4 linked regions of the Arabidopsis thaliana genome follow. The protein of the gene in region 4 purifies or fractionates together with the protein of the main gene of each other region. This does not show direct contact. Each region holds a gene or a part of one and is shown on either strand. Other genes may lie near its edges.

The links.
Region 1: the proteins of AT4G27585 (region 4) and PHB5 fractionate together in Arabidopsis thaliana (co-fractionation; one large-scale study listed by BioGRID). This does not show direct contact.
Region 2: the proteins of AT4G27585 (region 4) and PHB3 fractionate together in Arabidopsis thaliana (co-fractionation; one large-scale study listed by BioGRID). This does not show direct contact.
Region 3: the proteins of AT4G27585 (region 4) and PHB4 fractionate together in Arabidopsis thaliana (co-fractionation; one large-scale study listed by BioGRID). This does not show direct contact.

Annotation. Positions count from the first base shown.
Region 1 is NC_003076.8:4,607,773-4,614,657, forward strand, and holds PHB5 (prohibitin 5), read left to right. Parts: upstream 1-5,329; coding exon 5,330-5,617; intron 5,618-5,789; coding exon 5,790-6,251; downstream 6,252-6,885. Other genes in the region: BET9 (bromodomain and extraterminal domain protein 9), read left to right, coding at 35-101, 211-353, 482-745; AT5G14280 (DNA-binding storekeeper-like protein), read left to right, coding at 1,351-1,575, 1,659-1,958, 2,094-2,474; AT5G14285 (DNA-binding storekeeper), read left to right, coding at 2,908-3,672; AT5G14290 (Mitochondrial ribosomal protein L37), read right to left, coding at 4,440-4,838.
Region 2 is NC_003076.8:16,312,766-16,321,006, reverse strand, and holds PHB3 (prohibitin 3), read left to right. Parts: upstream 1-3,715; 5' UTR 3,716-4,385; coding exon 4,386-4,697; intron 4,698-4,896; coding exon 4,897-5,418; 3' UTR 5,419-5,436; intron 5,437-5,518; 3' UTR 5,519-6,157; downstream 6,158-8,241. Other genes in the region: G6PD6 (glucose-6-phosphate dehydrogenase 6), read right to left, coding at 6,451-6,618, 6,780-6,825, 6,940-7,055, 7,156-7,226, 7,333-7,428, 7,631-7,778, 7,993-8,064, 8,195-8,231. UniProt on the Arabidopsis thaliana protein: Prohibitin probably acts as a holdase/unfoldase for the stabilization of newly synthesized mitochondrial proteins. Necessary for mitochondrial and cell metabolism and biogenesis.
Region 3 is NC_003074.8:10,073,255-10,080,850, forward strand, and holds PHB4 (prohibitin 4), read left to right. Parts: upstream 1-3,554; 5' UTR 3,555-3,649; coding exon 3,650-3,961; intron 3,962-4,269; coding exon 4,270-4,797; 3' UTR 4,798-4,809; exon of another isoform or gene 4,810-5,009; 3' UTR 5,010-5,354; downstream 5,355-7,596. Other genes in the region: AT3G27270 (TRAM, LAG1 and CLN8 (TLC) lipid-sensing domain containing protein), read left to right, coding at 61-806, 2,380-2,452; AT3G27290 (RNI-like superfamily protein), read right to left, coding at 6,784-7,266, 7,346-7,596. UniProt on the Arabidopsis thaliana protein: Prohibitin probably acts as a holdase/unfoldase for the stabilization of newly synthesized mitochondrial proteins.
Region 4 is NC_003075.7:13,764,030-13,773,512, reverse strand, and holds AT4G27585 (SPFH/Band 7/PHB domain-containing membrane-associated protein family), read left to right. Parts: upstream 1-3,551; 5' UTR 3,552-3,680; coding exon 3,681-3,835; intron 3,836-4,085; coding exon 4,086-4,329; intron 4,330-4,449; coding exon 4,450-4,599; intron 4,600-5,003; coding exon 5,004-5,061; intron 5,062-5,139; coding exon 5,140-5,232; intron 5,233-5,414; coding exon 5,415-5,513; intron 5,514-5,735; coding exon 5,736-5,827; intron 5,828-6,089; coding exon 6,090-6,149; intron 6,150-6,244; coding exon 6,245-6,529; 3' UTR 6,530-6,814; downstream 6,815-9,483. Other genes in the region: AT4G27595 (WEB family protein (DUF827)), read left to right, coding at 1-694; AT4G27590 (Heavy metal transport/detoxification superfamily protein), read right to left, coding at 919-1,426, 1,524-1,570, 1,750-2,069, 2,166-2,289; AT4G27580 (phosphatidylinositol transfer SFH5-like protein), read left to right, coding at 7,207-7,326, 7,487-7,681; AT4G27570 (UDP-Glycosyltransferase superfamily protein), read left to right, coding at 8,495-9,483.

The sequences.
Region 1 (6,885 bases), on a different chromosome or scaffold from region 4:
ATTTTTCGTAAATTCTATGTGTTCCTGAGATCAGAATGACACTCGAGATCCAGAGAAGCTGCAGCGTGAGAGAGAAGAACTCGAGCTTCAAAAGAAGAAAGGTTTGCTTCCTTGATTTGCTAAATCAACTGTAGTTGGTGACATTTACCAGTTGTAAGTGATAAAAGCACACTGCAACCTGAGTTTATAATATGTGCCCTTTCTTAACAGAGAAAGCGCGATTACAAGCAGAAGCTAAGGCAGCTGAAGAAGCTCGTAGAAAAGCTGAGGCACAAGCTGCAGCTGAAGCTGCGGCTGAGGCTAAGAGAAAGCTGGAGCTTGAAAGAGAAGCAGCACGCCAGGCATTGATGGAGGTAAAGATGTTCATTACAACGAAATAGTCATTACTATATTATAATGGGTGAACTCTATCATTAAGAAAATTGGAATATCTAGTCCCATTTTTTCACTGAAACATAAGTTTTCATGGTATTTGGTGCAGATGGAGCAGTCGGTTGAACTCAATGAGAACGCAAAGTTTCTCGAGGATCTAGAACTGCTGAAAACAGTCGACACAGACCATTTGACAAATACAATAGAGGAGGAGGATGGGCCTGATGTTGGGTTGCGTAGTTTCAGTTTTGGGGGTAGTAATCCTCTTGAACAGCTTGGACTGTTTATGAAACAAGATGAGGATGAGGAGGAAGCTGACCCGCTAACTTCGCCAGCCCCTGAAATAGATATAGAAGAGGGAGAGATTGATTGAGGTTGTATGCTGATCCCCAAAACCAAACAATAGATATATCTGAATTCTGAATCCAGAATCCATCCCAAAAAAAAACATATACTGTGAGCTTCAAGTAGAGAGGGCCGTTCAGACTGAGGATTGGATTTTATTGGTACTGAGAGTGGGAACGTAGTCATTCATGAGTTAAGTTTTGCTTGGAATGGTCGTGAGAAGTGGGTCATCGTCTTTTTCCCTTTGCGTTGTGTTGTGTGATGTTGGTACGGGTTATCTTCGTGCTTCTTGTCGAATTGAGTATATTGTATCAGTAAAGAATTTATAACTTAAAAAGAGCCTTATGTCAAATACGACGTCGTTTTGTATGGAAATGGATTTTTTACACCGCTGAAAAAATAAAAAGAAAACTCGGAATCTCTTCTTCTTCACTCAAGAAGTCGCTCTGAAACTTGGAAACCACATTTTTGTTCTCTCAAGAGTCTGTTTTTTTTTTCTGGCGTAAGTTTGAATTTCATGAAAAGTTGTTATCGCTAGTCGATTTAGTGTAATTGATATCCTGATTAAGGCTTTTCTCTGCATGCCAGCCAATCAGGCTAGAATTGTGAAGTATAAAAGTAAGCAAATTGACAATGGCGACTCCGACGGAGCTAGGTTTCTCTTCACCTGGTGGTGGTGGTGACGACTCTGACGATAACCCTCCACAGAAGCGTACTTCAAAACGTACTGCTTCCGAAACAGCAACAGAAGAAGAAACGAAGAAGAAGAAAAAGAAGAAGACGAAGCACAACACAAAAATGGCTTCTCCTCCGAGCAACCGGATCTGGAACGAAGAAGACGAGCTCTCTATCTTAAAGGTATTTCCTACTTTGTCTCATCTATCTACTGCATTTACTTGATTGCGTTGCGATTCCTGAAACGGCATATCTATAATTCTCAGGGATTGGTGGATTTTCGAGCTAAAACAGGACTCGAATCCAAAATTGATTGGGATGCGTTTTATTGTTACGTCAAAGGTTCCATTCATGTGAAAGTTTCCAAGTGCCAGCTTATGAGTAAGACCAGGAAGTTGAAGAAGAAGTTCCTTGATCAAATGGAGAAAATCGATCAAGGAAATGATCCACATTTTACTAGGTCTAGTGAAACTGAAGCTTTTGGATATTCCATGATGATTTGGCGTAAAATTGATGCTGAATACACTAATGGTGTTATGGATAAAGCACATCAAAGCGAGAGTGGAGTAAGTGACTAATAAGAGTTTGTCATTTGTTTTTGATACACAATCGTCAAATCTGTTACAATAAAACTTGCTTAATGAATTGTGGTTTAAGAATGATTTGGATATTGTTCAATTATATGGTTTGTTGAATCACAGGAGGAGGTGTTTGAGGAGGATGAGGAAGTGGCCTTAATTGACAAAGGGGCTGCGAAAAGTGGCAAGTCACCTCATGAAGCTGTTGTTGTTGTTGACAAAATAACTACGAAGAAGAACGGGACTGCTGGAAAAGAGAGTGATGATGATGATGATGATGTGTTGTGTGCTGTGCGGGATGCGTTTGAGACCACCATGATGTCGCAAGGATTAAGTGATTATCAAAAGAAGTTGCAGCTTGAGAAGCTGATGAACCTTGGAACTGGTAAAAGAAGAGAGTTGAGCAATGAATGGAAAGCACTATGTGTTGAGGAACTAAAATTGAATATCAACAAGCTTCGATTTTCCGCCAAGCTTGCAGAGGCAGCAAATGATGGTAAATAAAATGAAGAAACGCCATTTCAGCATTTGGTGTTTGTCGTTTCGGAATTGGCTTGAAAAATATAGTTTACTTCTTACTTCTTACTACTTATTAGCCATAGACCATTTACCTATAAATGTGGTTTATGTCTTTAGCTTTACTACAACTTCTGGTGATTGATCTACTTGGGAAAGTATTTGTACCATTTCACTTTGATTTTTACCATCACACCTCAGTGTCCTTCTTCATCATAAAAAGAGATGATATTATAAAGTTGTTTTGGTCAATATAATATATGATTAAATAGATATTTTGATACATGTGTCTATCAGTCTATCGTTTAAGCTAAAACTCAACGAGACGACAGACGATAAAAAGGGATTAAGTTTCTTCTGTGTAGATTATTCTTCTTCTTCTTCTTCTTCCATTGTCTCTTGGGTTGAGATTCCGATCTCAATGTCGATCAATATCGGAGAAATCTCAATTCCAGACCTTCCTATCTTCTTCTCCATGTTCTTAACCATCTACCTAATCGCTTACTTCATCGTCTTCCGCAATTGGAAACCACAAATCCGTCCCGAAGCTTCAAGCTGCCTGATCTCAATCTTCCATGGATCTCCAGCGGTTTTCCTCGCCACACGCGCAGTTTTCTCCTCCTCCGAACGCTCCTTCGCCTCCGCAAACACCGCCGCACAAAACACCGTCCTCGATTTCAGCGTCGCTTACTTCCTCACCGATCTCTTCCACTACATCGTCTTCAACCCTAACGACGTACTCTTCATCGGCCATCACGTAGCCACTCTATTCGTCTTCCTAACCTGCAGATTCCTCGTCTTCCACGGGGCTTGCGCCATCTTAGGCCTCCTGATTCTAGCTGAAGTAACAAGCGCGTGTCAGAACGCGTGGACGCTCGCCGGAGCAAGGAAGAATGATCCGGAATCACGATTAGCTGTGAAAGTGTACGATCTCTTGTCTCCTCCGTTTTACGCCTTCTACAGTATCGTTAGGGGTGTGTTGGGACCTTTGTTTTTCGGGAAAATGGTAGCGTTTTACGCTCGAGGTGGTGCTCATGGTGTGATACCTAATTGGTTGTGGATTTCTTGGGCAATTGTTGTTGGAATTGCTATTACTGTTAGTATACTTTGGATTTGGAATCTCTGGATAGAATTGTTTAGTGAAAGGAAAGCTAACAAAATCAGAGTAGACAAGAAAATTAGATAGTTTCTTCTTTCTTCTCTAGATCATTGTTTGATCTTCCTTTTCATGTACTATATATAATATATATACCATTATTATTCTCACCTTTTAGAATTCCTCTAAATGATGTATGTTTTGGAATAATAGATTTGCTTTTGGGTAAGCAGTATGTGCAAAATGCACTTTTAATTCAACTCTGTATTGTTCAGAAGTTCTTCTCTTAAGAGTTTCTTCCATACACATATGTCTTGTCTCTCTGCTACACTTGGTTGCTCACATCTTGATTCTTGATATTGATGAGAAACGTTTTCTTTATGAAGTGTGCCATTCTTGGTGAGTTATATTTGGCTTTATAACTCTCTTTGTTTACGGCCAACACCAAGTCCCCTGAAACCAGCAACTGGTAAGCCATATATTCTTTTACTTGGAAGAATCAAAAGTTAGCTGGGGAAGTGTAAGAAATTACGAAACACAGAGATTCATATCTTCGATCATTGGATTGTGAACTTTTCATGTGTTGAAGAGGATAGGAAGAGAATTGGGGACTAAACATACCATCCAAGCTGAGACATGGTGTTAGGCAGTCTGTTGTGGAAAGCTGAATGATATACCATTTGGCCAATGAATAGCATAAAATACACAAATTTAACCAATTTACTGAGAAGAGCATGGAATTAGAGAAAAATCTTTTAAGATCAAATAATCCCAAAGATAATAAGGAAAATGAAGGGATTGCTCAAACAAGGGGAATTATAAGGGACACATACAACAAGTCATTGTTGAATCTCATTTCAGTTCTTGGCCTTGATAGAATGGTTCTCCTTGATTCTAGCTCTGGTATCCAGCTTCACAAAACGTTTAAGATCATCAAAACTAAGAGTCTCAACGTTCTTCCTTCTAAGTTCGCTAAGCGCCGGTCGCTTATCAAGCAGATGCCATAAATAATCAGGGTGATCTGAATTAGGCAAGATCTTAGGGTCCAATCCATCTTTCAGAGTATTAGCACTAACAACCATACTCGATTTGATCTCTTTGCTCAAGTTCGATGCTTTTGGTGCATCATTACCTCCATCTCCCCTCCCAACCTTCTTCGCTTTACCAGCAGCTGTAGCAAATGTTCTTTGGCACACAAATCGCATTACATCTTTGGATCTAGAAATGGAATCCCCAAACATTCGAATAAGGTTCATATCAACAACCTTATACCTGCAAATTCACAAAATAAAACTAAATAAATCTACACAATCCTATAATGTTCGTTCTCGGATTTAGATCAAGATTCGAGTTTTGTCGAAGATTTTTGGGTGAGGGTTTAACTCGCAAGATAGAGATAGGTAGCGAGTGCATCGCGGGAACTGGTAAAACTTATTAAAAAGTAACGGACCGGAAAATTAAAAGACCCGTCTAAAAGCCCACCAATAGTAATGCATACAAGTAACACGTGGCAGGTATGGTTGACCGAGTGAGTAACAGAACGTGAGAAAACCGACCCGCTAAATAAGAACCCGCCCAATATAATAAGCTTTCTCCTTAACTTCTGCCTCACGCAAAAAAAAAAACTTCCTATAAAACCTCATCTCCTGCGTTCTCTAACTACTTCTCACCTATCTGACAAGAAAAGAAACCCTAAACAACATAAAAAGAAACCTAAAATCCATACAGGAGACATTCAAAGCCAATCATGCCTTGGTCAAAGTTCACAAAGGTAGCTCTAGGTCTAGGAGCTGCCATAGCGGCTGTGAGATCAACAATGTTCACCGTTGATGGTGGCCAGAGAGCTGTTATGTTCCACCGATTCGAAGGGATTCTAGAAGAACCAGTAGGAGAAGGGACACATCGTAAGATTCCGTGGGTGCAAAAGCCGTATATCTTCGACATTCGGACCAAACCCTACAAAATCAATACCGACTCTGGAACTAAGGATCTTCAGATGGTCAACCTCACACTTCGTGTTATGTTTCGCCCTGATGTAAGTTCCCGCGAATATCCAAAAAATTTCACTAATAAGATTTTGTGATATATATGTAAAATAATATATAACTGTTTTCCGTGGGTTCGTGTTAGGTTTCGCGCCTCTCGTATATATACCAAAACTTAGGTCTCGACTATGGTGAAAAGGTCCTACCAGCGATCGGGACGAGGTGGTTAAAGCGGTGGTGGCTCAGTTCAACGCTGACGAGCTCTTAACAGAACGTCCACAGGTCTCAGCTCTTATACGCGAAACGTTGATCAAGCGAGCTAAGGAGTTCAACATTGTTCTCGATGACGTGTCGATCACTGGTCTCTCATACGGTAAAGAGTTCTCACTTGCGGTGGAGCGGAAGCAGGTGGCACAGCAAGAAGCTGAGCGGTCCAAGTTCGTAGTGGCAAAGGCTGATCAGGAGAGACGAGCGGCTGTGATTAGAGCAGAAGGAGAGAGCGAGGCGGCTCGGGTTATATCGAAAGCGACTGCAGGGGCTGGGATGGGGTTGATCAAGCTCAGAAGGGTCGAGGCGGCTAGAGAGGTTGCGATTACGCTCTCTAATTCTCCCAATGTCGTCTATTTGCCAAGTGGTGGGAATATGTTGTTTGCAATGAACGGTCCAAGCAAAGTTGTTGCTTGAATTAGTTGCAAAAATATGGTGTTCAATGGTTATATTGATTTGTGTGTTTTAAGATTTTCATTTTTTTATATAGTTTCCTAGTATTGGATCACCCTAGTATACTCCAGTTGAGACTGTTCTTGCGAGTCTGAGACTCGCACACATGACACATGACACATCTACTGTTAAGTCGACATTGACATCAAATTAAACAATCACTGTGCCAATCAAACTTATGCATAGACCTAGAGATAATTAAGTAGTCCAAGTTCAAAGGTTGATCTAACCTGGATCAGTGCCCTTGGTAGCTATGGCACATACTTCCTCACTAGGGAAAATGGGAGCTGATTATCCAGCAGCTTTCGATTAGATATCAACAAACAAAATGCAAATTAGGTTATCTTAGAAAGAAAAAAAAACAAGCTATTCATCGGATCACAAGTCACAAGTGTCACCTCGAAAGAAACTTGGGCCCATCTATATTATCTTATGGGCCTTATCGACCGATTCAAATATTGCAAATTAGTGTCGTTAACCTTTTTTGAAAACATACGGCCATTAGTGACAATTTAATTAATATTCTACAAATTCGAGCAGTGTCTTCTACATTTCTTTGTAAAGTCTTTGGTTTTTAATTTTAAGGTCAAGTTCACCA
Region 2 (8,241 bases), on a different chromosome or scaffold from region 4:
TATTTGATCAAACATTTGAATTTTAGCGAATATGTGAATACCAAATGGCTGGCTAAATTGGATCAAGTACAAATAGAAATAGATAACAAATATCGATCTGGAAAGTGTGTTTAGCGTTTAGTACAGTGTTTAGCGTTGACCGCCGCAAACTTGTAGCCAAACAGTCCATTATTGATATTTTGTGCACTCTCAAAACGTCATCTTATGTAAATCTCAAAACAGGGAAATATTATATTTCTGTTCAAACTATTGAGTCTTCTGACTAAACCATTTATATATTGTTTATGATCTCTACAAGACTACAAATTTATATTTTCGTTTTTTAAAAGTTAAATATGATAATAAAAACAAAAAAACTATTGTCTCGGTGAGACAACCAAAAATATGCCTCTGTGTGCGTATTTGATGGTTTTACGCAACCTTTAAAGTCAATAATTTTATCTATGACTCTGTGATAATAGTTTTGTTTGTAGCAAATGATCTTTTGGTTACGCACATCATAGGAGTATTAATTATTCGTTAAATATCAAAAGTATCAGATGTCTCCGTTTCTCATTTCTTCTTGGCAATGTTTTAAAAATATTTCGAAAACAAAATATGGTCATTGTTCAATTTCCACTATTAATGTTCTGCTTTTAGTTTGTACATAAAATTTAATTCATTGTTGCTAGTGTTTAAATGTGAAGGAGCTAGGAAAGTTCGTAGAAATGCACCAAATGAAGACTTTTGAGAAAATGATAGAGTCAATGAAAAGAAGAGATAATGAAGTGTATGGTTCACTTCTATGTTCTAACAATCTCTATTTTCTTAAAATTATTTATTTTGTCATTTTCTATCTTGTCATGTTCCTGCTTTTCGGTCAAGTGGCTTTCTTCCATTGACTTATATTTTGTTATTGTTATTTAATTAGTTGGAATAATGTTTTACGACGATTTCCATATTAATTCTTGAATTAAAATACTATAGAAACTAGTTGCCCCAAAAAAGAAAAACTATAGAAACTAAGAAGATGTGTAAAATAAAATATTTATATACGGATTCATCAACATGGTTGAAAAAATTAAGGTATCATCATAAGATTAATTAGTTAAAAATTTCAAGCAAATAGGTATAGTGATGAAAAAAAAAAAGAAAAAAAAAGGTATAGTGATGAATGTTATTTGTATGATGAGTCCTTAATTCTAACTAAATTCATCATTATCCGATTCCGAACAACTCCTATATGCACAAAGAATATTTTTACTCTCGATTTATCTCGTCGTTATGCATGTGAGCATTTATGTGATGACATGTTATGGCTTATGATAATAATAACAATGATTAGAAAATGTTATTGAAATGTTTAAAAGTCAAAACTGTTTTATAGTTAGGTTTTTGTGTGTGGAATTTATTGGGATTGAAGAAAAAACGTGTAAAGTAAAACTCTGTTGGGAAAGTTATTTAATGAGTCAACTGATGAAGTTCGAATTTTTTCCAAAAAAGAGAAAAATAGACGAACAAATTAGCGTATAAATACTAATACCATATAAATAGATTAAACGCAAGATGAATCTATCTCATGTAAAACTTTATGAAAATATAGTAGACAAAAATAAAAAAAGAGATACGTTGTTCAAAGAAGCAACTCACTAAATATCCTATATATATGAATTACTGGTTTAAATAACCTAATTACAGTTTACAGGAGTTTTATATGGATGTTGTCCAATGTCGTAAGCTCATAATCTTAGACTTGTTATGTTTATTTCAATAGAAGCGTGTAGACTAAACCGCAATTGGCAACTCGAGTGTTCCGTCTGTATCTCCGCATCGAATGAGAGATACATGCTTATGTAATATAGTTCAGCGCGGGCATGTTTGTATCTGCATTTAGTGATTGTGCAAACAAAAATCAAATGATCAAAGTAGTTAATGCCTCCAGTGAAGCATCTCGGAAGCTGTACACGAGAGGAAGTTTTCTTCAAAGAAATAATCAGTTGACTCGGTTTAATTGTTACGTGTCACCTAGTGTTGTAGGTTAAGGATGAAATTTATCTCCACCAGATTGCAAATTTATTTTTATTTACTCGTCAATCTATTTCATCTTCGTTGTATATGGTCAACGAAACTATTAGATTACAATCAATTGATTTTATAATTATTACTAAGGTATGAATAATTTCAACACCACCAATTAGCTATAGTTTCGATCTGCACTTTGACACTAAATTATAATTTTTATAATTTAGTGTATCAACGTGACATCATGTATGTGATAATTAGCTTACATTATCTTATACTAGTTTGTAAACAAATACTGGCCATTGGTGGAGGAAAATTATGTGCACTAAACAACAAATGAGCATCCATTATAGCTTAGACTAAAGAATATTTGCATTATATGTAATGAGTCTCATATTTAAGTAAATGGCAATTCTAAAATTTTTTCACTAGCTAGATAAAAACACATCAATACTTTTTATTGATCTACCATTGGTGGTCAGATGATAATTCGATTCAATGTTTAGCCTAAACATATTCTTTCTGACCGATTAAAAACCAAGTGAACGTTTTGTTTTGGTCGATCTATCCCAAGATTAGTTGGACTTTGTTCCAAATTTCTTGATGAGCAAACACAAAAGTGTAAATTGTTTCTTATTATTGTTGTCATGTACCATATATATATATTTGACAAAATAACCTAGTATAGTAGTAGTAGTATATATATAATTATATATATATATATTAATATTAGTTTCAGTTTGTTTATTTTACAATTATACACTTCTCACTCTAATTGGTTATCAAAGATTCATGTTTCCTTCACTTGGGTTGTTTCTTTTACCTGTTTCGATAATATTGATGACTACATATATATCCGGTTGGAGTCAAAATGTTGAAAGAATCGAATTTAGCTCAATCTTTGAAGTTGGCGTTTAGTTTTTGAAATTAAAGATTTCTCTGCAATATTTTAATTGAAAATCAATATTGAAGGACTTTTCTGTAATATAAATCTATTTTAAAGGTTATTTTCAAACCTGTATAAGATTCGACACCGAAACATTTGACATTTTCGATAACGTGGTGAGGTCACTGTGTGACCTTCCAAGTAAAACTCCATAATTTTCTTAGTATTCGAGACGACTTAATTGAGTCATATTAATTAAGTGATACATAATATCTCTATATTTTTTTGGTCGAAGATACATAACAATTTTACGGATAAAATATTTGGAGATTTACATGCTTTCAGATTCAGTTTTAATACTCGTGTACATCTGTCTTCAAATCCCACTTAACCGAATAGAAAAGTATTCGCGTATACTGTTTGTTGGTCAAAAAATAGTCACAAAAAGTTTTCAAAAATAGATATCATTGTTTCACAACTTTTCTTTTAAGGAAAAAAAAACACTTTTTATACTGGAAAAACTCAACAACAACGTCCCCTGCCGTTATATTTGAAAAGGATTAATCATGCTCACATGTAAATATTTTTCTTATACGAAAAAGTAGTTATCCTTATTCAACTTCGTGTTTGTCAAGTAGCTCGAAGAATATTTTTGTTCACTACCGTTGGCTTGTACTAATCTAATACTTTTATAGTAGGCCCTTAACACCATACAAATGTCCAAGTAGGTATATTCTTCAATTTTTATTTGATTAAACAAATTGAGATAAACTATTGGCGTTGACCGATCTTGGTTTTCATTGCCTCGATTTTGCTGTTTTATATTTGGTTTCTTCTTGCTGGTTGGGATGCTGTTTTTGAACTGTGAGGTAGTCTTCATTTGTTATAAGAAGAGCTGCTATCTTGATGCTGTGGATTAGAATTTCCCCGTCGTTTAGCCATTTCTGCAAGCTTTTCTTTATCTTGGATTGATGGTGGGCAATGTCTCATGTGCTAGATTCTGGTTATAGTTTTTGATTTTCCATGGTTCAGTTTCTATTTTCTTATGCATTTAAAGTAATGTTTGTTAGCTTCCCATACTTTTGGGCTTTAGTCTCCGAGGATTTTTGTTATCCGTCGACTTAGTTTTTGAGATTATCTTGTTAATCGTCAGCTTTAACTTTGTAAACTCTATCTATAATCTATCTTTCAGTAAAAAAAAAATAAAAAAAATTGAGAGAAACATAATTTATGAGACAAAAAGATATTAAACATACTCTGTAACCGTTAAGCTGTTTTCAGCCCAATGTCATGAAACCCATTATTGAATTTAGTTCTTAATAGGCTTATATAGTCACATAATAATATTGGGCTAAGTTACTTGGCCCATTAAATCATTTCCCGTGGTAGGTTCCAGAAACATATCATAAACCCTAGCAGAAACTCTTTCCTCTCTCGTCGTCTCAAATCTCTTCTTCCTTCTTCTTCTCTCTCGATTCAAGATAATCCACACGCAAAAATGGGAAGCCAACAAGCGGCTGTTTCGTTCCTTTCCAATTTGGCGAAGGCTGCTTTCGGTCTTGGAACGGCGGCGACGGTGCTGAATACATCGCTTTTCACCGTTGACGGCGGAGAAAGAGCTGTTATCTTCGATCGATTCAGGGGAGTGATGGATCAGACTGTGGGTGAAGGGACTCATTTCTTGATCCCGATTCTTCAGAGGCCTCACATCTTCGATATCCGCACGAAGCCTCACACGTTCTCTTCAATCTCTGGTACTAAGGATCTCCAGATGGTTAATCTCACTCTTCGTGTTCTCTCTCGTCCTGAGGTATAACGCATAACGGTTCTTCATTTTTGATCTAGACTCGTTTGATTTCTCTGAATTGAGGTTTTTCAGATTCATTTGCGAATTGGATTTAGGGTTTAGGGTTTTGATGATCTATGATTTTCAAAATTTGTTTCGAGGACTAGGTATTGTAGAATCGTTATTAATTTGGTGTGTTTATGTGATGTGAATTGTTGTGAAGGTGTCGCGTCTCCCGTACATCTTCCAAACTTTGGGTCTAGAGTATGACGAGAAGGTTCTTCCTTCGATTGGAAATGAGGTTTTGAAAGCTGTGGTTGCACAGTTCAACGCTGACCAGCTTCTCACTGAGCGTCCTCACGTCTCAGCACTTGTTCGGGAGTCACTAATCACCCGTGCGAAGGACTTCAACATTGTGCTTGATGATGTAGCTATCACGCATTTGTCCTATGGTGTGGAGTTTTCAAGGGCTGTTGAGCAGAAACAAGTGGCTCAGCAAGAGGCAGAGAGGTCTAAGTTTGTTGTGATGAAGGCTGATCAAGAGAGGAGAGCTGCGGTTATAAGAGCTGAAGGTGAAAGTGAAGCTGCTCAGTTGATTTCTGATGCTACGGCTAAAGCTGGTATGGGACTTATCGAGCTTAGGAGGATTGAAGCTTCAAGGGAGATTGCGTCTACACTTGCTAGGTCTCCTAATGTGGCCTACTTACCCGGTGGCCAGAGCATGCTCTTTGCCCTGAACCGTTGATCTTGATCAGATATGATGGTATGTAAAAGCTTCATCTGAATCCATAGAATTAAGTCGTTTTGTGATTTGTCTGAAGGCTTTGTATTATGGTTATGTGCAGGTTGTTTGGGAGCATTTTGCGATATTTTAATGATCAAGTTGTGAATCTGATTGAATCAAAAAGGTGAAATGCTCTTTTGTTTTGATGAACTCTGAAGAAGAAAAAGAAACTAGTTGTTTGAGTTGTCATTATTGTGTTCTGAATCTCGGCAAAATTTACTCTACCTGAAGAATCTTTGTTTTCAGCATCATGTTTATCTAATTCTCAACAAATAAATGATTTTGGCTGAACTGTAAGTAATTTGTTTGTTACACATGCGTGAGAAAAGAAAATACAGATGGTACCTAGGAGTGTTGTTCTATGCGGATAAACTATGGTCACATCTGGATTATCTAGATGGTACCTATTTTGCATAAACTGTCGATAGTCTACGTCAAATTTCGATCTGTATGGACATTCAATTGTTTTTGCATAAACAGAGCAAGTTCAGAAACAAAGCAAATAAAGAAGAGAAATCATGAAAGATAGCCTTTTCTATCGAGATCCATTTTATCCATCGGTTTTAGTTTTTTTTTTTTTGGTCATCTAATGATAATGATGACTATGTAAAGACGGCGTCGGTTCCTAGACTCAACTTATGTGTCTGTGTCAACAAACTCTAGATGGAACTTAATGTGTGTTTCAACCACCTCTAGATTGAACTTATGTGTGTATATCAACAAACTCTACATTTTTTGGCAATTTTTTCTATCTCATCGTCAATTTCATTCATTTAACGAGCACAACAAAAGCTAAATTCATTTATGGTATTGGTAAGATTTTTATTTTTATTTCTACAAAGCCGCAAATACAAGACCAAAGGAAGTGTCAAAGTGAACAGCTGAAGTAGCAAGTTTCACGTACAAACACCAAACTCGAGGAGGGACTATTCAGCATAATTTATACATATACATGTAGATACATGTATTGTGTATTTATATATATGTAGGGTTTTATAGTGTAGGAGGGATCCAGATATAGCCGTGAGTCTGAAGATAACCAGCTTTCTCTAGTAGCTGATCAGCTTCTTTCGGTCCTCGGCTTCCTGGTTTGTATGGGATTGACTTTACTTCTCCTTTGTCGATCCTGTGGAGTAGCGGCGTGAAGATCTCCCACGCAACCTGTAATAATCATCAAAATGGATACAAATGTTAGCTCCTGAATTGTATGATGCAAAAGTTTGTGTCTGGATTGTGTCTATAGTTAGAGCATTTGTAATGTAACAAAAAAACGATCTCAGAGACTGCTTTGGTTTAAGGGTGGCGTTAGAAAATGTTTCTACCTTTAATTCGTCTCTACGAACGAAATGTTGTTGATCGCCTTTGATTCTGCAGAGAGATGGAAAGAAAATATGTTGAAGATAACATGAAGGAACAGAAGGCATCAATTAGATATATAAAGCCTATTGGGGTAGTATATAATTTAGAAAATTTATTTCTTACGTGTCAAGAATTAAGCGCTCGTATGCCTCAGGGATAGCGACACCTTGATACCGTTGCCCATACGACAAGTCTAGTTCACTTTGCACAGTATTCATATCTAGACCTGGTTGCTTAACCTGTGTAGCAAAAGCATAGCCAAAAGCGTTATGGTTCACTGTAGTGGTTCAAGGTCAGAGTAATTAGTAAATTATGTTTGTTTGTTCATCATATACTTACAGTTAGTTTCATGTACATTGCCTCTGAAGGTTGCAAGCGTATCACAAACTCGTTCCTTCCTTGCTTTTGACCTGTTGCAAGAGAGTTTAGACAAAGCGATACATTGTGTCTTTACATATATTTAAATTCAAAAAGCTAAAAGAAGATTCAAAACACGATGTCAGGGCAAGACAATACATCTGAATATGTCGCCTGGGACATCCTTGAATTGAATGCGAATTTCTGCCTTCCTTGAATTCAACGCTTTTCCGGCCTTTAATATAAATGGAACACCTGAAAGATATATCCAGGACCGTTAGAATGTGCATGCAAACATGTCGGATTTTGGTTCCACATGCTTTAACCAAAAGATTGATGCTATCTATGATCATGTTGACCCATCAAACCTCTGTTTTTTCTTCATATTTTATGTCAATTTCCAGATTGTTTCTGAACTGATAGATGAAAATATGAAGAGTGAAGTGGGACATGGTACCTTCCCATCTTTCGTTGTGTATGCGAAGGATTGTTGTGGCAAATGTTGGAGTGTTTGAGTCGTTTGGAACAGTATCATCATCCCTATATCCTTCGTATTGTCCAAGAACTACCTCGTCATCGCTTATCGGAACCACAGATTGAAGCACCTGAAGTTCACTAAAATAATCAGTAACGAGAGACTAATTGGCTGAAAATGCAAATGGAAATATCAACCAATCCATGTAAACTCGCTAAGGAGATTTTTAAAGAAAAATGTAACTAGATCAAACAGTGAGGTTCTCAATCATATGAATTCAGATAAAAGAGGCAACGAAAACCAGATAGAATGGCAAAAAGTGGTCAAGAAAAGTATTTGTTCACCTTCACTTTCTCATCCCGGATATGCTCAGGTTTAAGAGATATTGGTTTCTCCATGGCAACAAGGCAAAGAACCTACAGAGTATTATGAACTCAGTTAGTCAATACATGAAAGCATTTGAACTTACAGAGAGACTCTGAAAAACAATCACATAGATTTCCAATGAAGTTTTGTTATCAGGAAAAGTATCTCAGGTATACTTGCCTGTAGCAGATGGTTTTGAATAATATCACGGATTATTCTGTGTGGCA
Region 3 (7,596 bases), on a different chromosome or scaffold from region 4:
ACCATCGTCTCTATATATGTATCGACGACTTCAAAAGCTTCAAGTTATTCTTTATCAGTAATGGAACCAATTACTTATTCCAAAGATCTTCCATTATTCTTCTCAATCTTCATCTTCGTTTATCTTCTCGGTTACTTATTCATTTTCAAAAAATGGACTCCGGAGACTCGTCCTTTAGCTTCCAGCTGTTTAATCTCCCTCCTCCACGGCGTCTCCGCCGTCGTCCTCGCCACGAACGCCTTACTCTCCGATCCTAACCGTGGATTCTCCTCCGTCAACACCCAATCTCAAAACTCAATTCTCGATTTCAGCTCCGCTTATTTCCTCGCTGATCTCGTCCACCTTGCCGTGTTTCCTTCTCCCGCCGGCGGAGACTCGCTTTTCGCCGCTCATCACCTCGCCGTGCTTTTCGTTTTCCTCACCTGCCGTTACATGGTTGCTCACGGCGCCTGCGCTCTGCTCGCGCTGCTAGTCGTCGCGGAGGCCACGAGCGCGTGTCAGAACACGTGGACGCTCGCGGATGCGCGTGGGAAAGACGCGCCTCTAGCGGTGAGTTTGCACCGGTTCGTTACGGTGCCGTTTTACGCGTCCTATAGCGTCTGCAGGTGCGTTCTAGCGCCGTTGCTTATCGTTAAGATGACGTGGTTTTACGTCAGCGGAGGCGCTGATGACGTCATACCCAGATGGGTTTGGGTTTCGTGGACCGTTGTTATTGTTACTGCCGTTACCGTTAGTATCCTTTGGATTTGGAATTTGTGGGTACTGTTTTTTCAGGAAAGATATTCCAAATTTACCAAAAAGGTTAGGTAAAAATATATTTACAGTTTCCATATTCGAGATTTTGTTATCTAATTTGAGCGTAAATTAATATCTCCGAATAAATTATGTTCATGGATTTGGTTGCATATATATAAAAATTGTCCGGGACAAATTTTTAAAAAAATTATATCTTAGATTCCAAAATAAAGTCTCAAAATAATTAACATATAGTCAATCAAAGTTTTTATATGCTATTAGAGTTGTTTAATAGTAAAAAAACAAAAAAACTTTGGTTGACTCTGTCAAGAATAAAATGAGATTTGTTCTCTAATTTTAGCGTAAAATAATAAATCTGAATTAATCATATCCCATTATCTCTGGACTTGGAGCTATATGATCAGTACTATCATTGAATTTAGACACAAATTGGTTATAAGGGTGTTCGTTTAATATAGTTTGGTATTCGGTTTTTACAAAATAAATTTGAAAATCCGAGACAAATTGGATATTCAAAATAATTGACAGATCGTAAGGTTTATTTTTATTGAAGATAGAATACTTTTAATTATTATTGTGAGTCGGTCTTAGGTTGTTGAGACGAAAGTTAATTATAAGAATGTTTGTCACAACCCATTACTAAGTCTAAAGCATAGAAAACTTGGGATGACTAAACTTGGGGTGACTTGTACAATATCAAAAATCGAGATCATTGCCTCGGACAATAATAAATTCCACAAAAGTACGAGTGACTAGTGTCCACGAGACTAGTGGTTGAAAATTAGGACTTGAATTCATTCCCTCTAGAAGTTTATACAAATTTCAGACCAACTTTTTAATTAACACTTTTTTTCATTTATTTTTTCTTGAGCAAAATAAGAGAGGAAGTAAGATAGATTAAAATTTAAACAACCACAAGATAAACATGCTTTAAGATTCTAGTTAAGAGATGGATAATTGAACGAATCCAAACCAATTGGAGGGGAATGGTCTGTTAGATTTCACATGTTAGAGGTTCCTCCATGAAGTCTAGAGTTAGACTCTTTCGAAATCTCACAAAATGTAGCTTGAAGGATGAGTTTGACATCAACAATCTGTTGGTCCAATAGTAAATCTCCCAGATGGAGGTGTTGAGTTCAAAGCATGTTGGGAGGGATTTTTTCTCCTAAAAAGATGAATTTAACTTGGTGTAGGTCTCGCCAGGCTGACCTCGCCCATATTTACAAATTACAATATCATCAAAACCCGAAGGAGTAAACAAAGAGTGGTGATTAAAGAATGAAGTGTCATTTTAAATAGCTCCCACTTGTTTTTCTCTCGATCTCAATCTGACAGAAACTGATATATTCCACTGATCTTCATCGATTCATCAAAGTTTTAGATTTTAATTCAGATTTCATCTTAAGGGAGGGTATTACGAGTATAGGAATGTGATTATCATATTAATGAAAGTTGAGGTTTTAAAAATAGCTTAACCAAACAAATGTAATCTTGCCAAAAAGATATAAAATGAGTCCATCAACAAAATTTATCGGAGTTACAAGATCATCAGATTCCGAAAAGCTTTTCTGTTTATGCGAGCGGTAATAGTGTTTTTTGATGTCTCCGTCGATTTCTTTGAAGGTGGCCAAAGGCGAAACGGAGACACTATTGTGCAACAAGTTGTTCATTTGTTTCCAAACATGGTAAGCTGTAGCATGAGCAACTCCTACTAATTTCCAAAGAATTGTGGGAGCAGTCTCTGTTTTTAGCTTAGTCCAAGCCAGAATTGAAATCCAAGTAATAAAGATATAAGGCGATATCGTTAATCCTCTTCTGGTGTTTTCTGTATGTAAAACGGCGTCTTTCTTTTGATTCGAAACGGAGGAGTTTGTGAAGGGTAACAAGACGGAATGGTTCTTTATATCTGGGAGGACCAAGATGGGGAAATGTGGAAAAAGAATGAATCGTAGAGACAATGGAGGATACTGGAGGGTAGTATCATCTCTGCCAAGAAGATTCATGCTGGAGAAGCAGGCCTTGTCGGCTACAAATACTCACTAGAGTACTACATTGGAAAACAACCAAAATGGCGTAAAAGAGGGTTGGTTGATGCATGAACACTGGCTTAAGTCTTCTGATGATATTAATAACTACGAGCTGGTAAGAGTATATATGTACGTTTACTTACTTGGTTTCCAAGTTATTGAGACTCTTGAGTTTTGGTTTTTATTGTGACGACTTCTGTTGTTTTGTTTGAGTAGGGCAATTATGCTATGTGCAAGATCTATCTGAGTCCACACGCAGCAAAGAAGAAGAAAACACACGATGAAGAGATCGACGATTTAGTTCAATTTGTGGAAGCAGCCTTAGATGTTTCTTTTTATCTACTTTTGCTGTCCAAAGTCAGAGGTCTCATTGTCTTTATATAGAATTTCTTGTATATAACATTTTCCACTGGTTGTATAGAAAAATCAATTTTAGTCTTTTGTGCTTATTCACTCTAATCAAAATCTCTAATCAAGGTGAAGGAGGAGGTGGAGGAAGAACATTTTCATCTTGCTCTCTAAGAAGATCCAAAATCTCTGCAGGGTTGTTATCAACACGCTCTTCGTCTCTGTCTTCCTCTCCGGATTTAGTTTCGTTTATGGGCAAATAATCAAATTCGGGTTTAATCTTCCAAACCGTTGTTTCCTTTTATATTACATCATTTCCTTTTCCTTTTTTATTATTGGGCCGAAGTAGTTTATATTATTAATGGGCTTTAAACAAGCCCATATTCAATAATTGTCGGCCAAAAAAAACCCTCTCTTCCAAGTTCCAAAATCATTTCATAAACCCTAACAAACCCCTAAATCTTTCCTTTCTCAATTCTCTCCTTCGAAGCTTTTTTCTTGTGAGGTCAGAAAAGAAAATGGGAAGTCAACAAGTAGCGATTTCGTTTCTGACGAACTTGGCGAAGGCGGCGTTTGGGTTAGGTGTGGCGGCGACGGCACTAAACTCGTCGCTCTACACTGTTGATGGTGGCGAGAGAGCTGTTTTGTTCGATCGATTCAGGGGAGTGTTGGATCAGACCGTCGGCGAAGGGACTCATTTCTTGATCCCGTATCTCCAGACGCCGCACATATACGATATTCGTACGAAACCTCACACTTTCTCCTCCAAATCTGGTACTAAGGATCTTCAGATGGTTAATCTCACCCTTCGTGTTCTCTTTCGCCCTGAGGTAATTTCGATTTTAGCAACAATCAATTTCTCGATTCTGTGTTTGATTTTGTATACATTGGTTGTTTACAAGATCGAGGGTTTAGGATGATCGTGTTCGTTCGATTTAGCAATCATTTATCGATTCTGTGTTTGATTTCGTGGAATTTGAAGTTTGTGTACAAGATCTAGAGTTGAAGATAATCCTTATGTGTAATTTGGTTTCTTCGATGAATGTTACTCTTATTATAGAAGCTTTTGGTGCATATCTATGCTGGCTTCGATTGTTTGAGGGATTGAATAAGTTGTTGTGGTTATTTTACTGTGAAGGTTTCGCGTCTCCCGTACATTTTCCAAACATTGGGTCTTGAATACGATGAGAAGGTTCTTCCATCGATTGGAAATGAGGTCTTGAAAGCTGTGGTTGCTAATTTCAATGCTGATCAGCTCCTCACTGAGCGTCCTCAAGTATCAGCACTTGTTCGTGATGCTCTTATCAAGCGTGCCAGGGAATTTAACATTGAGCTCGACGACATAGCCATTACTCACTTATCGTACGGTGCTGAGTTCTCGAGGGCAGTGGAGGCGAAGCAAGTGGCTCAGCAGGAAGCTGAAAGGTCAAAGTTTGTGGTGATGAAGGCTGATCAAGAGAGGAGAGCTGCGGTTATAAGAGCAGAAGGTGAGAGTGAAGCTGCTCAGTTGATATCAGATGCAACAGCTAAAGCAGGAATGGGACTAATTGAGCTTAGGAGGATTGAAGCTTCAAGGGAGGTTGCGGCTACTCTGGCTAGGTCTCCGAACGTGGCTTACTTACCTGGTGGACAAAGCATGCTCTTTAATCTGAACCCTGGTCGTTGAGCTATAACATTGGTATGCTCTTTTACTTCTTTGAATAATGAATGAAAAATGGATTTGGACTTAAGATTCCCATTTAAAGGCATTAAGGTTATTCGGTTTGGTTGAACTAAGAGTGGTTATGGTTTGGTATAAACTGTTTGGTTTGATAGTAGAGTATGGTTTAGGTTTGTGGAATGGTGTGGTTTACTTGTTTGGCCTTGTTGTATTTGCAGGTGGGAAGAGGAGCTTCAGTGGAGACAAAACGACGGAGCTGTGAAGTTTATTAACGTTGATGCTCTTTTATTTCTGATGAACACGATGTGAAAAAAGATAATTGTTTTGAGCCGTTCTATCTTTTCTGACTCTAGAAGTAAAGACTATGCCATTGTTGTCGAAACCCGATCATTCCAATGAAAGGCTTCACCAAAAAATCTACCATAACAATAGTCGAAATTTGTATTGTCAAAAACAATTTCCAACACCAAGGTTGTTGTACTTGTATTATTTAAAATATAAATTAAAACATGGTAAATAAATTAAATAAAACTTTTTTATGTGGTCACTTTGGTGGCTTCGGTACATGCGGTGGCCTCTTGTGGTGGGGTAGACAAACTCTAAGTATAGTGCATTCACAAACTTTAACTTTTCCCTTCAAATTACAATTTGCTCCACCATAACCTTCGTTGTTACAACTCGTTCGGCACCTCCTAGCACCGTCTACCTTATTACACGTCTCTGGCGGTGCTTTGCTTGGATAATCATCACACAATTCCCAATTCATTGCTTTTCCTAATACAATAATTCGATCAATTACAAGTATTTATATCGTATTGATTATATATGCATATTTTTGTTTTTTTTCAATGAAAATATATTTGGTAGAAGATTTAATATTATTTACGATTTTATCTCCTTGTAGTGATTTATTTTACAGCTAAATTACAATTTTGACAAATTTCCTTAATTTTTTTTTTAAATGAGTATAAGAAGTTCCATTTTTTCAATATTTGTATATCTTGTAATTTATAAACCAAAAGTTTAACCGCAAATAACACCTTTTTTTTTTGTTGCATTAAGCATCTATCATTATAAATCAAACTTTTAGACATTTTGTTTTTCCTTTTATAAGTTTTTATTTTTCTTTGTTAATAGAGTGTTTTATGAATAATAAATCTAAGTGTCATATTGCTATATATCAGGAATTATTATTTCTAAAAATAGAAGAAGAAATGAGAGATAATCCGTAAAAAATGCCTATGAAATTGTTTAATGAAAAGAAACATTCATTATTAATTTATATCATAATTCTCTTTTTTCATATAACTTTGATATGTTTCTTTATTAAAAATATGTTATTTAAACGTAATAATTACCTACATGATATTATGCATTATACACTGGATGTACAAACTGCGAATAAGTATTGGAATATGAGAGGTATTATTAAGTAAACTAGGTTTGGATGAAGTGACTAGTGAGGATGGTTGGGAGATCTTGCAATGAAAGTTTGTGATCATGGGCTCATGTTTCCAGGGAATGTACAAGCAGGAGTGGATTGATAAGAGATTGATCCATTTTGAAAATTATACAAGTCATTTAACAAAAGCTACATATGGAGGAGATTAAAAGACTAATTAATGATAATGTAAAATAACTCTGATATATTCTTTATTCTCTTCTCTTTTCTTGTAAGTTCTACTTATTTCCCATTTGAATCCTGGTGCTTCAACTTTCAAGTAAAGCTCTAGTCTTTGCTTCTCTTCATCTCTCATGATCAAGTTTGACTCGAGTCCGTTGCAGAATCAAGTTTAGCTCAGATCTTTCATGATGCTGTAGATGAAGACTAAACACCCTTCTGAGTCTTATCATGTTTCCATTTTTTGTTGCAGCTCTTCTTATTGACTTAGGTTTGATACCTCAAGCACCAAGACTCTTCATTCTTCAGAAAACAGTGTATTGAGGATCAAAGTAATGTGTTAAGCTTCGGTTTTGACTTCAAATAAACTATTATAAGCGGTTAGACCTCTTCTCAATGCATACCACACAGCTGAATGCAAAACAGAACGGCTTGTTTTCACAGTCATTTAAGCAACTCCCACACTCATGGCAACGTTCTATGCAGACAACGCAAGCTCTGCAAGATGACTTAGAATAAGGATATTGACCCTTCAATGGACATGTATCTGCTGGACAATCAAATACCAGACTTGGTTTCTCACACCAGGGGCATATCTCGAGGTCAGTAACTCGATCATCCTCTAAATAGAATTCTGATCTACAAGACGTATAGAATCTCTTCTTCCTCTCTTGTAAACCCACTTTAGCATCTCCTCCTAGCAATAAGTTGAGCTCTTTAAACTGCTCCTTTGTGAAATACAACGCCCCACCAGTGATTAGGCTTTTGACTCCAAGACGGTTTGAAGATTTTAAGTCCCTTAAAGTTGACACTAGTCCTGCTGTGCTTAGTCTAAGACAACCAGATACACTCAGCTGCAAAAAAACAGACACACATGAACAAACAACACAGAATCATATAACAAGATTGGTTCCATCATTCGATCAAACTAACCTTAGTAAGATGTGGATTGCTAGCAAGAACTTGCTTCAAGCCATAATCAGTGATACCAACACATCCTCCAAGATTCAAACATCGAACACCGCCTAGAGCACGGCGTGTTAACTTCAAAAGAGACTCATCAGTAACTCTATATTGAAGAAATGAGTCATTAAGATCAATACTTGTCCAGAAAAAAGGTTCCTTTCCAACCGAATCACGCAAAGACCTACAAACTACTTCAACCGCAAGAATCTCTTTCAACT
Region 4 (9,483 bases):
ATCATCTTTGAAGAAGATTGATGAGTTGTTACATCTAGAACAGAGTTGGATTGATAAGGGAAACGAAAATCAGGAGCTTAAGGTGCGGGAAGCTTCAGCTGCAAAGAGGATAGAGGAGTTGTCAAAGATGAAAGAGAGTTTACTTGACAAAGAATTGCAGACCGTAATTCACGATAACTATGAGCTCAAGGCCAGAGAGGCTTCTGCACTTAAGAAGATCGAAGAGTTATCTAAGTTGCTAGAAGAAGCTTCTTCCACACATGAGAAAGGGGAAGAGATTACTAATACCAATCCTTTTGATAACAGTACCGGAGAACAAAAAGTACAAGAAAGTCCTTTGGAAGCTATTGATAGACATTTGAAAGATGACACAACAATTCATTGGTCAGCTCACAACGTTCAAGTAATAGGAAAAGGAGAGAAAGGTAAAGATAAAGACACCGTGGAAAGCGAAGTGTATCATTTAGAAAAGAGAGAAGCTTCTTCAGAGAGAGACACAGAGCATGACTTTGCTGAAGAAGAAGTCGACTCGAAAGCAGAAGGTAGTGAGAACTTTGATCAGTTAAGTAATGGTTTGTCTTTAGCAGAACAAACAGAAGATGTGGTCTCAAAGGACCAACAACAGAAAAAGAAGAAGCCTTTGCTTCGGAAGTTTGGAAATTTACTGAAAAAGAAGAGCAGTAGCCAGAAATAGAGGTAGATGTGATGTTTTACTACAATCTCTGTTGCAACTGAACATTCCAAATTCAATGAAAGGTCTTTGATCTAACTGACTGATTTTTATATATAACAAACAAAGAGATAGCCATTGTTAAAGCTTACAAAGCATAACATAGAAACAACCTAAAAGAAGTAATAACACCAAGAGTCCTGACATGATAGAGATAGAGAGCAACATGCAGAGAAAGAGAGTCATCGTTAAAAGACGAAGCCTTCAAGAATGTCGACACATTCCTTAAGATTTTGAATAGCCTTGCGGAGATTATGAATACAACGCTTCTTTCGCCTTGCGTTTTCTTCTTCTTCCTCGTCGATCACTTGAGTCGAATCATTCTCTTCCTCTTCCTTCTTCTTGTTCAGCGTGTTCTGCTTGGGACGAGAAGACTCCCCCACGCTCTGACGAGGACGACGTTGAGTTCTCACTTCCGTTGTTGTAGCTACCGAGTCATTGTCCGATTCTGGATTCGCTGATTCTGCAACGGCGATGGGAATTGGATGCGAGGGAACAGATCTGGTCTTGGTTGATCTTCCGCTGCGAGTTCTTATTATAGTTTTTGTGTCTGTCACCTCTGTCTCTGAAAGAGGAACTAGGGCTTTGTCCGAGAAAATAGTGGATGATCTCCTAAGTTCAGTACAGTGGACTGGAAGATAAAGCGTTATCACTTTATTTTTCTCGAAAGACTCGGTCTTTTTTTTTCTTGATAACCTCTTATGATTGTTTTAAAGACTAACCATAATTAAAATTAAAGACATTCGAATATAAACTAACTTCAGAGTTGATAAGCGTCATACAACTGAATTACATATGTGTCCCAAGAAAGATTTTACGAACAATGCGGTGACCATTGAACTACGTACCATCAATCCGTTGCGAGATGCAAACCTTATCAACTATATAGAAACTTTGGTATTTATGTATATATTAAGAGATCCAATGAAAGTTACGTACGTGATTTCTTGGAGCTTTATTAGAAACTTAGTAGAGTCATATATAGACGTGATTCAAAAGGAAAGGGATCTAGTGAAGACCTTCTTCACGGCTTTCCATGTGAATGAAGAGGTTCTAATAAGTGACATAGGAGGTCTTATACTGAATCTCGGAGGCGTTGTAGAATACGTATAAAACGCCGATGATTTATCGGTATCAAATGAAGTTTTAATAATAGTGTCTTCTTTTACGACAATGCAATCATCAACGCTCTCTGGATTATTATTCTCCTCTTCCTCTACATTCCAAAACCGAGCTTCTTTTCGCTTCTTTTTCACCATCGCTAACACATCGAGTTTGTTACAAATCCCCCACACCGTCACCTTCTGATTGTAGTAGTCTACTTTCACTGAATATATTCCTGATTATTCGTTATAAAGAAAATATAATAAGCTTATTAATTATTTATGCATAGTCGTCTATGATATCATAACCATTAAAACTATTGATTACGTACCTTTGAGATGAGAAAGAGCCCTCTTGACTTTCTTCTCGCAACCGTAAGAATACAAAGGCACCATCATTTCTACGTACTGTGCTTCCACCTTGTTGTACACCGGCACGATTTGAAGATCACCCATTATACTTTAACTATGTATTTTGGTCGAATTCCAATTTCTAACTCAAACTATGCACACTTACCTTTATATATAGTAGAGATACACGAACTTAGGTGTGTGCATATATATATTGACGACAGTGATTGGGTTTCATGCAGAAGAGATGAGGTGCATGTTGTTGAAGTCGTCATGTTATAAGCTTTTTAGGATCTAGTGACTTGGATTTAGTGTAAAGTGTGTCACCACTATTCTCTTTGTTAGATATAGTTCACAAAATATAACCTTCTTTAGACTTTGGATCCCATGTTACATGTTCATCTTTTACTTTATCCCACCAAAAGAAAACTTGGATTGAATCTTTTGAAATCTAAGCAAAAGATAGAAATTATTTTCTTAGAAAAGATTAGACAAAAGAAAGAGAAGACACTTTTGAAAGGTGAAATGCGCTTCGTCATTACGAAGCTTTTAATTGTTGCCATTTTATTTCTTGACGTCGGTATATCTAAAAGGGAACGGCGCCGGATCTTTGATGACTCACACACAGTTCTTCACCATGTGAAACCCATTAGACTTGTTTTTTCCATGCATTCTGAATTTTAAACCGCTTTTTTCCATTATAGTAAAGTTTAACACCCCTTCATGGCTTTTGTAATGTCTAAATTTTTCAATATCCAAAACGTCGTATAATAATGAATTAATGACTATCTACAACTATCAAAATTTCATGATATAAGTTTATTTTCTTGAAATAAAATATGTATTTTATTCCTTACAATATAAATATTCATTATAATTCACTCACATCATTACATGATTTTTAGAAACTAAAAGAAACCATTACCCAAATTTTTTATATTGGCTCCGATTGGTGACCAAAGAAATGAACAATAGGAATTTTGGGGAGGAACAATTTTGTTCTATCATTCTTTTTTTTTGAGGAATGATGAGGAAAAATGTAGGATCCACCTGTCTGAAAATGGATCAAAAATTCCTTGCAAATGGTAAAAAATACCGAGGAACAAAAAGGAACACGACTTTCCTATTCATTGTTTTCCTCAAAAGTGGTTACCAATCGGAGCCATTATTTTCTTGCAATTTCTCGATTCACAATGAATTTTGGATTCAACTAAAAAAAACTCTTTAAAATAACAACCAAAACAATGAATAATAAATTAATAACAGATGGATATTTCAGGCGTCTGAATGGGCTAGAGATAAGCCCAATAATAACAGCAGGTACCAAACTATCCACTAAAGCCCAATAAAATATTTGCCTCCTCTCCACGCATATTGCGTGAAATCTTCGTGATCCGGCGAAGAAACAGTACCTGAATATTGACTACGCATTATAAGAGGTTTTGTTTTGGGGTTTTTCCTTCTTCACATATCATTTTTCTGATTCTCCCACGAAGATGAACCACCTCGTTCGTAAAAGCTCCGTCGGTTACTCCGCCTTGAGGTCCGTTTCGTACCTCCGTCAATCTGCCGTTACCTCTCCACCTCCGATTTTCTCCGCCGCCGCTTCAACCGTTCGCCAGTTCACTTCCGCCGGCTATCCTTCCAACAGGTTTTTCACCTTACGATTTCGTTTTTGAAGCATTTGGTTTTAGATTAGAGTAGAGAACCTTAGGATTGATTTATGGATGTTCGTTGTAGTTTTCAATTGACGATTTGGTTTTAGATTAGAGTAGAGTAGAGAACCTTAGGATTGATTTTTGAATCATTTATGTTTCTCACCTTACGATTTCGTTTTTGAAGCATTTGGTTTTAGATTAGAGTAGAGAACCTTAGGATTGATTTATGGATGTTCGTTGTAGTTTTCAATTGACGCCGCCGACGAATTGGGGAATCCGGATAGTTCCGGAGAGGAAGGCGTTTGTGATTGAGCGATTCGGTAAATACGCTACGACGTTGCCGTCGGGGATTCATTTCCTCATTCCGTTCGTGGATCGTATTGCTTATGTTCATTCTCTCAAGGAAGAAGCTATCCCGATTCCGAATCAGACTGCGATTACTAAAGACAACGTTAGTATCCACATCGATGGTGTTCTCTACGTTAAGGTCATCTTCTTTTCTTTCACCAATCCATTTTCCTCTTGTTTTTTTTTTTTTGTTTTGAGTTCTTACTTTTGTGATTCTTTACTGATTTCTTCTTGTTGATCTGGGAATTTTTTTTTGCAGATTGTGGATCCTAAGTTAGCTTCTTATGGCGTTGAGAGTCCTATCTATGCTGTTGTACAGCTGGCTCAGACCACAATGCGTAGTGAGCTTGGTAAGATCACTCTTGATAAGACCTTTGAGGAACGAGACACTCTCAACGAGAAGATAGTGGTTTGTTCTCCAGCCTTCTTTATCTCTGTTTTGAAGTGTTAGGACTCACCGTACTTAAGCTCCTGTGCATTTCAAAGAATTTAGAATCCGCTAAGTTGATCAATTTCAAAGTCAAGTCACGTTAGCTTGAATATTGCTGTTGGTGTTACTCCCTACTGAGCATTGCGGCTTGAGCTGTTTAGTTGGAAAAATTAGTCACATCTGGCAGTGTGTTTGTATACCACAAGTTGGGTATATGGAATTTAGATTCAGCTGGGGGATTTAGTCATGTTGTATTTGTTGGATATCCGAACTTATTTGCGTCTCTTTTTCAAATCATAAGGAGACATGATGGTTAGAGGAAGTATATCCATTGAAGAAGAAAATATATGATGGATTTTTGAGATGTATATATATTCTTGCAGGAAGCCATCAATGTTGCTGCAAAAGACTGGGGTCTTCAGTGCCTTCGTTATGAGATAAGTAAGTTGTTCGTGTTTTTTCTTTTCCGGTGATAGTTACATATCTGTTTTTTCCTATTTCTAATTCATGTTTTTCCAGGGGATATTATGCCCCCTCATGGAGTGCGAGCTGCTATGGAAATGCAAGCTGAAGCTGAGCGTAAAAAGAGAGCCCAGATTCTTGAGTCTGAAGGTAACCTTGACTGACTTGTCTTTGAGAACTCATCTTCGAGACTGAGCAGTGCTTGCTACGGCTCATAATGTTATTCTTGGCTAAAATCTATCTGTTATTCCTTTTGAGTTTCGTTTTTTGCATTTGGAAAAGAAGAGGCCTGCTTAGCATGTTTCTAATCATTGCTTTACTAAATTTGACAGGAGAAAGGCAATCCCATATCAACATTGCTGATGGTAAGAAAAGTTCTGTAATCTTGGCATCTGAAGCAGCAAAGATGGACCAGGTGAATCGAGCACAAGGTTAGTGAGCCATTAAGATCGAGAACACATCAGAGTTGCATGTTATGTCCATTGTTAGTTAGTTTCACTAGAAGAAAAAGTTAGTTTTCATTTGCTTATTTTTCCACTGTACACTGATGAATGCTTGGTGCATGAGGAACTATTTTCGTTACTGCTAATGCACAATATGGTTGCTATCTCCCACTGGTTTTTTCTTATATTATCCTTGATGATGTTCTACAGGTGAGGCAGAAGCAATACTAGCTAGAGCACAAGCAACTGCGAAAGGCCTGGTCTTGTTATCTCAGTCCCTCAAGGAAACTGGGGGAGTAGAGGTGAGTAATTGAGATCAAGCAGAATATTGGTATTCATAGTTTTGATTTAACTAACTAGCTTTGATTAATTAATTCTTCATAGTATTTACACAAATTGCTAAATGTGTACGTCTTTATTCTCTTTGGATAAAGGGTTCTGTGTCTTCTTGAACTTTCCAACTTTTGGAATTTTAAGTCATATCACTATTATTGCTGTGTTTAGGTTTCTTAACTTTTTCTGTCCAAAATATGATCTCATACGGTGTCACTGTAAAATTTGCAGGCGGCGAGTTTGAGAGTTGCAGAGCAATACATTACAGCCTTCGGTAACATTGCCAAGGAGGTAAAAACAAATCAATTACTGTAATCTCTTCCAGTCTCTTGGCATAGCTCGGGCTTATGTAATGTTCATGTTTTTTGTTTTTTTTTGGGGTTTAGGGTACGATAATGTTGCTTCCAAGTGGTGCTTCAAATCCTGCTAGCATGATTGCTCAAGCTTTAACAATGTACAAAAGCCTTGTCATCAATGGTCCAAGCAAAGATCACCAAGAAACACAAGCACTTGATGAAACAGATTTGGAAGAGTTGGAAGACATGGGTGAGAAACATATATCAGAAGGCTCTAATAACCGATCAGGCTCAATATCATTTGACACAGAGAAACCAGGTCACACCGGTGAACCACGATTTTCTCTTCAGAACCGCAACAAGGATCCGCAGTAGGCAGCCGAACCGGGGATGAGATAAATTCTTTGGGCTTGAGAAAACTGGAAACCATTTTTCATCTTTCAAATATGAGGCAGTAACCATCTTTTCCGTTTGAATAGCTAGAATATCATCACTTTGCATATAGAAACGAATCTGAACATCTGTTCTCCGATAAGAATTTTCCTACTGGATTTGTTATGAACATGGTCCTTGTGTTCTTATTCACCTTTATTCCCATTGCATTGCTTATTACCTGTACCCGTTATTATTCGGTTCGGTTGCAGAGTATTGCAATCTAACCAGGAGGAGCTTGTGAATCCATGAGATGTCAGAATTTGCCAGCAGAAAAGAAGCCATTGCCCCCTAAACAGGATATAGAAGAATGGTGGAGATAAAAGTTGTCCTCCGGATAAATAGGTCCTCACAGAGAATCAAAGGTGTAATGACTTGTGATTCTGAAATTAACCAAAACTTTACCTGAAATAGCTTTAGTCCATACGATTCCTGTATGAATCTGTTCACAGCCCTCTCCTCCATTTGCTCAGCCTCCGGTTATAAAATTAAAGAGTTTTGGCCTCTTCAAAGTCAGCTTTGTCTAGAGGAGTTCTCCTTTTCTTTCTTTCTTTTTTTGCTCCACAGCTCTTCCCATTGTAAGTTTTGTTTTCCAAACTAATCCTTTCAATCCAAAAACCATGGGAGCCTGTGCGAGCAAACCTAAGGAATCTGACATCGTCGAAGGCTCTGTCTCGACCGAAAATGCTGTTGTTGAGTCCAAGAATGCCGCGACCGAGACAGATGCCACATTAACTCAGGTGAGTCCAATATATTCTTTCTAAATAATTTAGTAGATGATCTTAAAGATTCTTGAATTGAATAACATGAAATTTACCAATTAAACAGAATTTACTACAAATTCTTGATTGAACAAACTCATATTAAGTTAAAACTATTGTTGCTGATTGTTGATTAAAGGAGAAGAAGGAAGAGTCCATTGAAGAGACAAAGAAGGAAGGTGAGACAAAAGAGGACTCCTCTGAGGCAACCAAGGCTGAGCCAACTCCAGAAGCTGTGAAGGCAGAAGAAAAAACATCTTCTGAGACTGAGCCACCAGCACAAGAGACCACACCTGCTGCTAAAACCGATGAGGCCCCTCTCGTGATCCTTTGATTTTCATTTCATCAAATCTCAAAATCATGAGTATGTGCAAGTGCAAGTGTTTCTCACATTGTTATTCGTATGTTCATCTCTGTTCTATTGTCAATATGTACAATACCCATGTACATTCTGTTGTGCCCGCCTCTAGTAAATTATGATTAACGAAAAATTACAATTCTTTTTTATATAGCTTATGATGTGTAAATATCAACACTAAAACTGGGACATTCAGTTGGCACCAAGTAGATCGATATCTAGACTAGAGGTTCCTCCTCTATGTCCCACGGTTGCAGAGGATAAAATGAAGAATGAGTACATGGCCTACAAAATCTTGGTTCTTTTTGCATGTCGATTCCAACTACCACGCATTTATAGCAAGGATATTAAATTTCCGGTACGGTTTTAGTTGGATTTCGGAGAAGGCAATGTACACTTTTACCGAACACCCCAAGTTTTATTGGTCGTAAACAAATACTACAGGCCACCATGGATACATCTAGTGCGCATCTATATCGAGGCTCAATTAAAATTTTAACGGACCCCAATCAGACGTGTCTACGCAAGGCTCAATCGACCAGTAATACAACTATAAATAAGCAATCAAAGCAGCAAATGGGAAAACCAGCGTTATGTTTTGGTATGAGAATCATGTCAGCAACAACCAAACGGTGTATATATTAATAACTATCGAGAGAACACAACCAGAGTTAGGTAGGCCTTGTTAGATTTTCACACCAAACCCTGGCACTATATATAGACCCATCTAGTATCCAAAGCATAATAGAGATACAAAGAAACAAGAAAACGAAAAGAAAATATACAGAAATGGGTGGTTTGAAGTTTCATGTACTTATGTATCCATGGTTCGCAACAGGCCATATGACCCCGTTCCTTTTTCTTGCCAACAAATTGGCTGAGAAAGGTCATACGGTCACTTTCTTGCTTCCCAAGAAATCTCTGAAACAGTTGGAACATTTCAATCTGTTTCCACACAACATTGTCTTTCGCTCTGTCACCGTCCCTCATGTGGATGGTCTCCCCGTTGGCACAGAGACAGCCTCTGAGATCCCTGTGACATCAACTGATCTCTTGATGTCTGCTATGGATCTCACACGTGATCAAGTTGAAGCTGTGGTCCGAGCCGTTGAACCGGACCTGATCTTCTTTGACTTTGCTCATTGGATTCCAGAAGTAGCTAGGGACTTCGGCCTTAAGACTGTAAAGTACGTCGTGGTGTCTGCATCGACTATAGCTAGTATGCTTGTCCCAGGTGGTGAGTTAGGTGTTCCTCCACCGGGATATCCATCATCAAAGGTGCTGCTTCGTAAACAAGATGCTTACACTATGAAGAAACTGGAGCCTACAAATACAATCGATGTCGGACCAAACCTCTTGGAACGAGTCACTACAAGTCTTATGAACTCTGATGTCATTGCGATAAGGACAGCCAGAGAAATCGAAGGAAACTTTTGCGACTATATAGAAAAACATTGCAGGAAAAAGGTTCTCTTGACAGGTCCGGTGTTCCCTGAGCCAGACAAGACTAGAGAGCTAGAGGAACGATGGGTTAAGTGGCTAAGTGGGTATGAACCAGACTCAGTGGTGTTTTGTGCACTGGGCTCACAAGTCATTTTAGAGAAAGATCAATTCCAAGAACTCTGCTTAGGAATGGAGCTAACAGGTTCACCGTTTCTTGTAGCGGTTAAGCCCCCTAGAGGCTCATCAACGATTCAAGAAGCACTTCCTGAAGGATTCGAAGAGCGGGTTAAAGGAAGAGGCCTTGTTTGGGGAGGATGGGTTCAACAACCATTGAT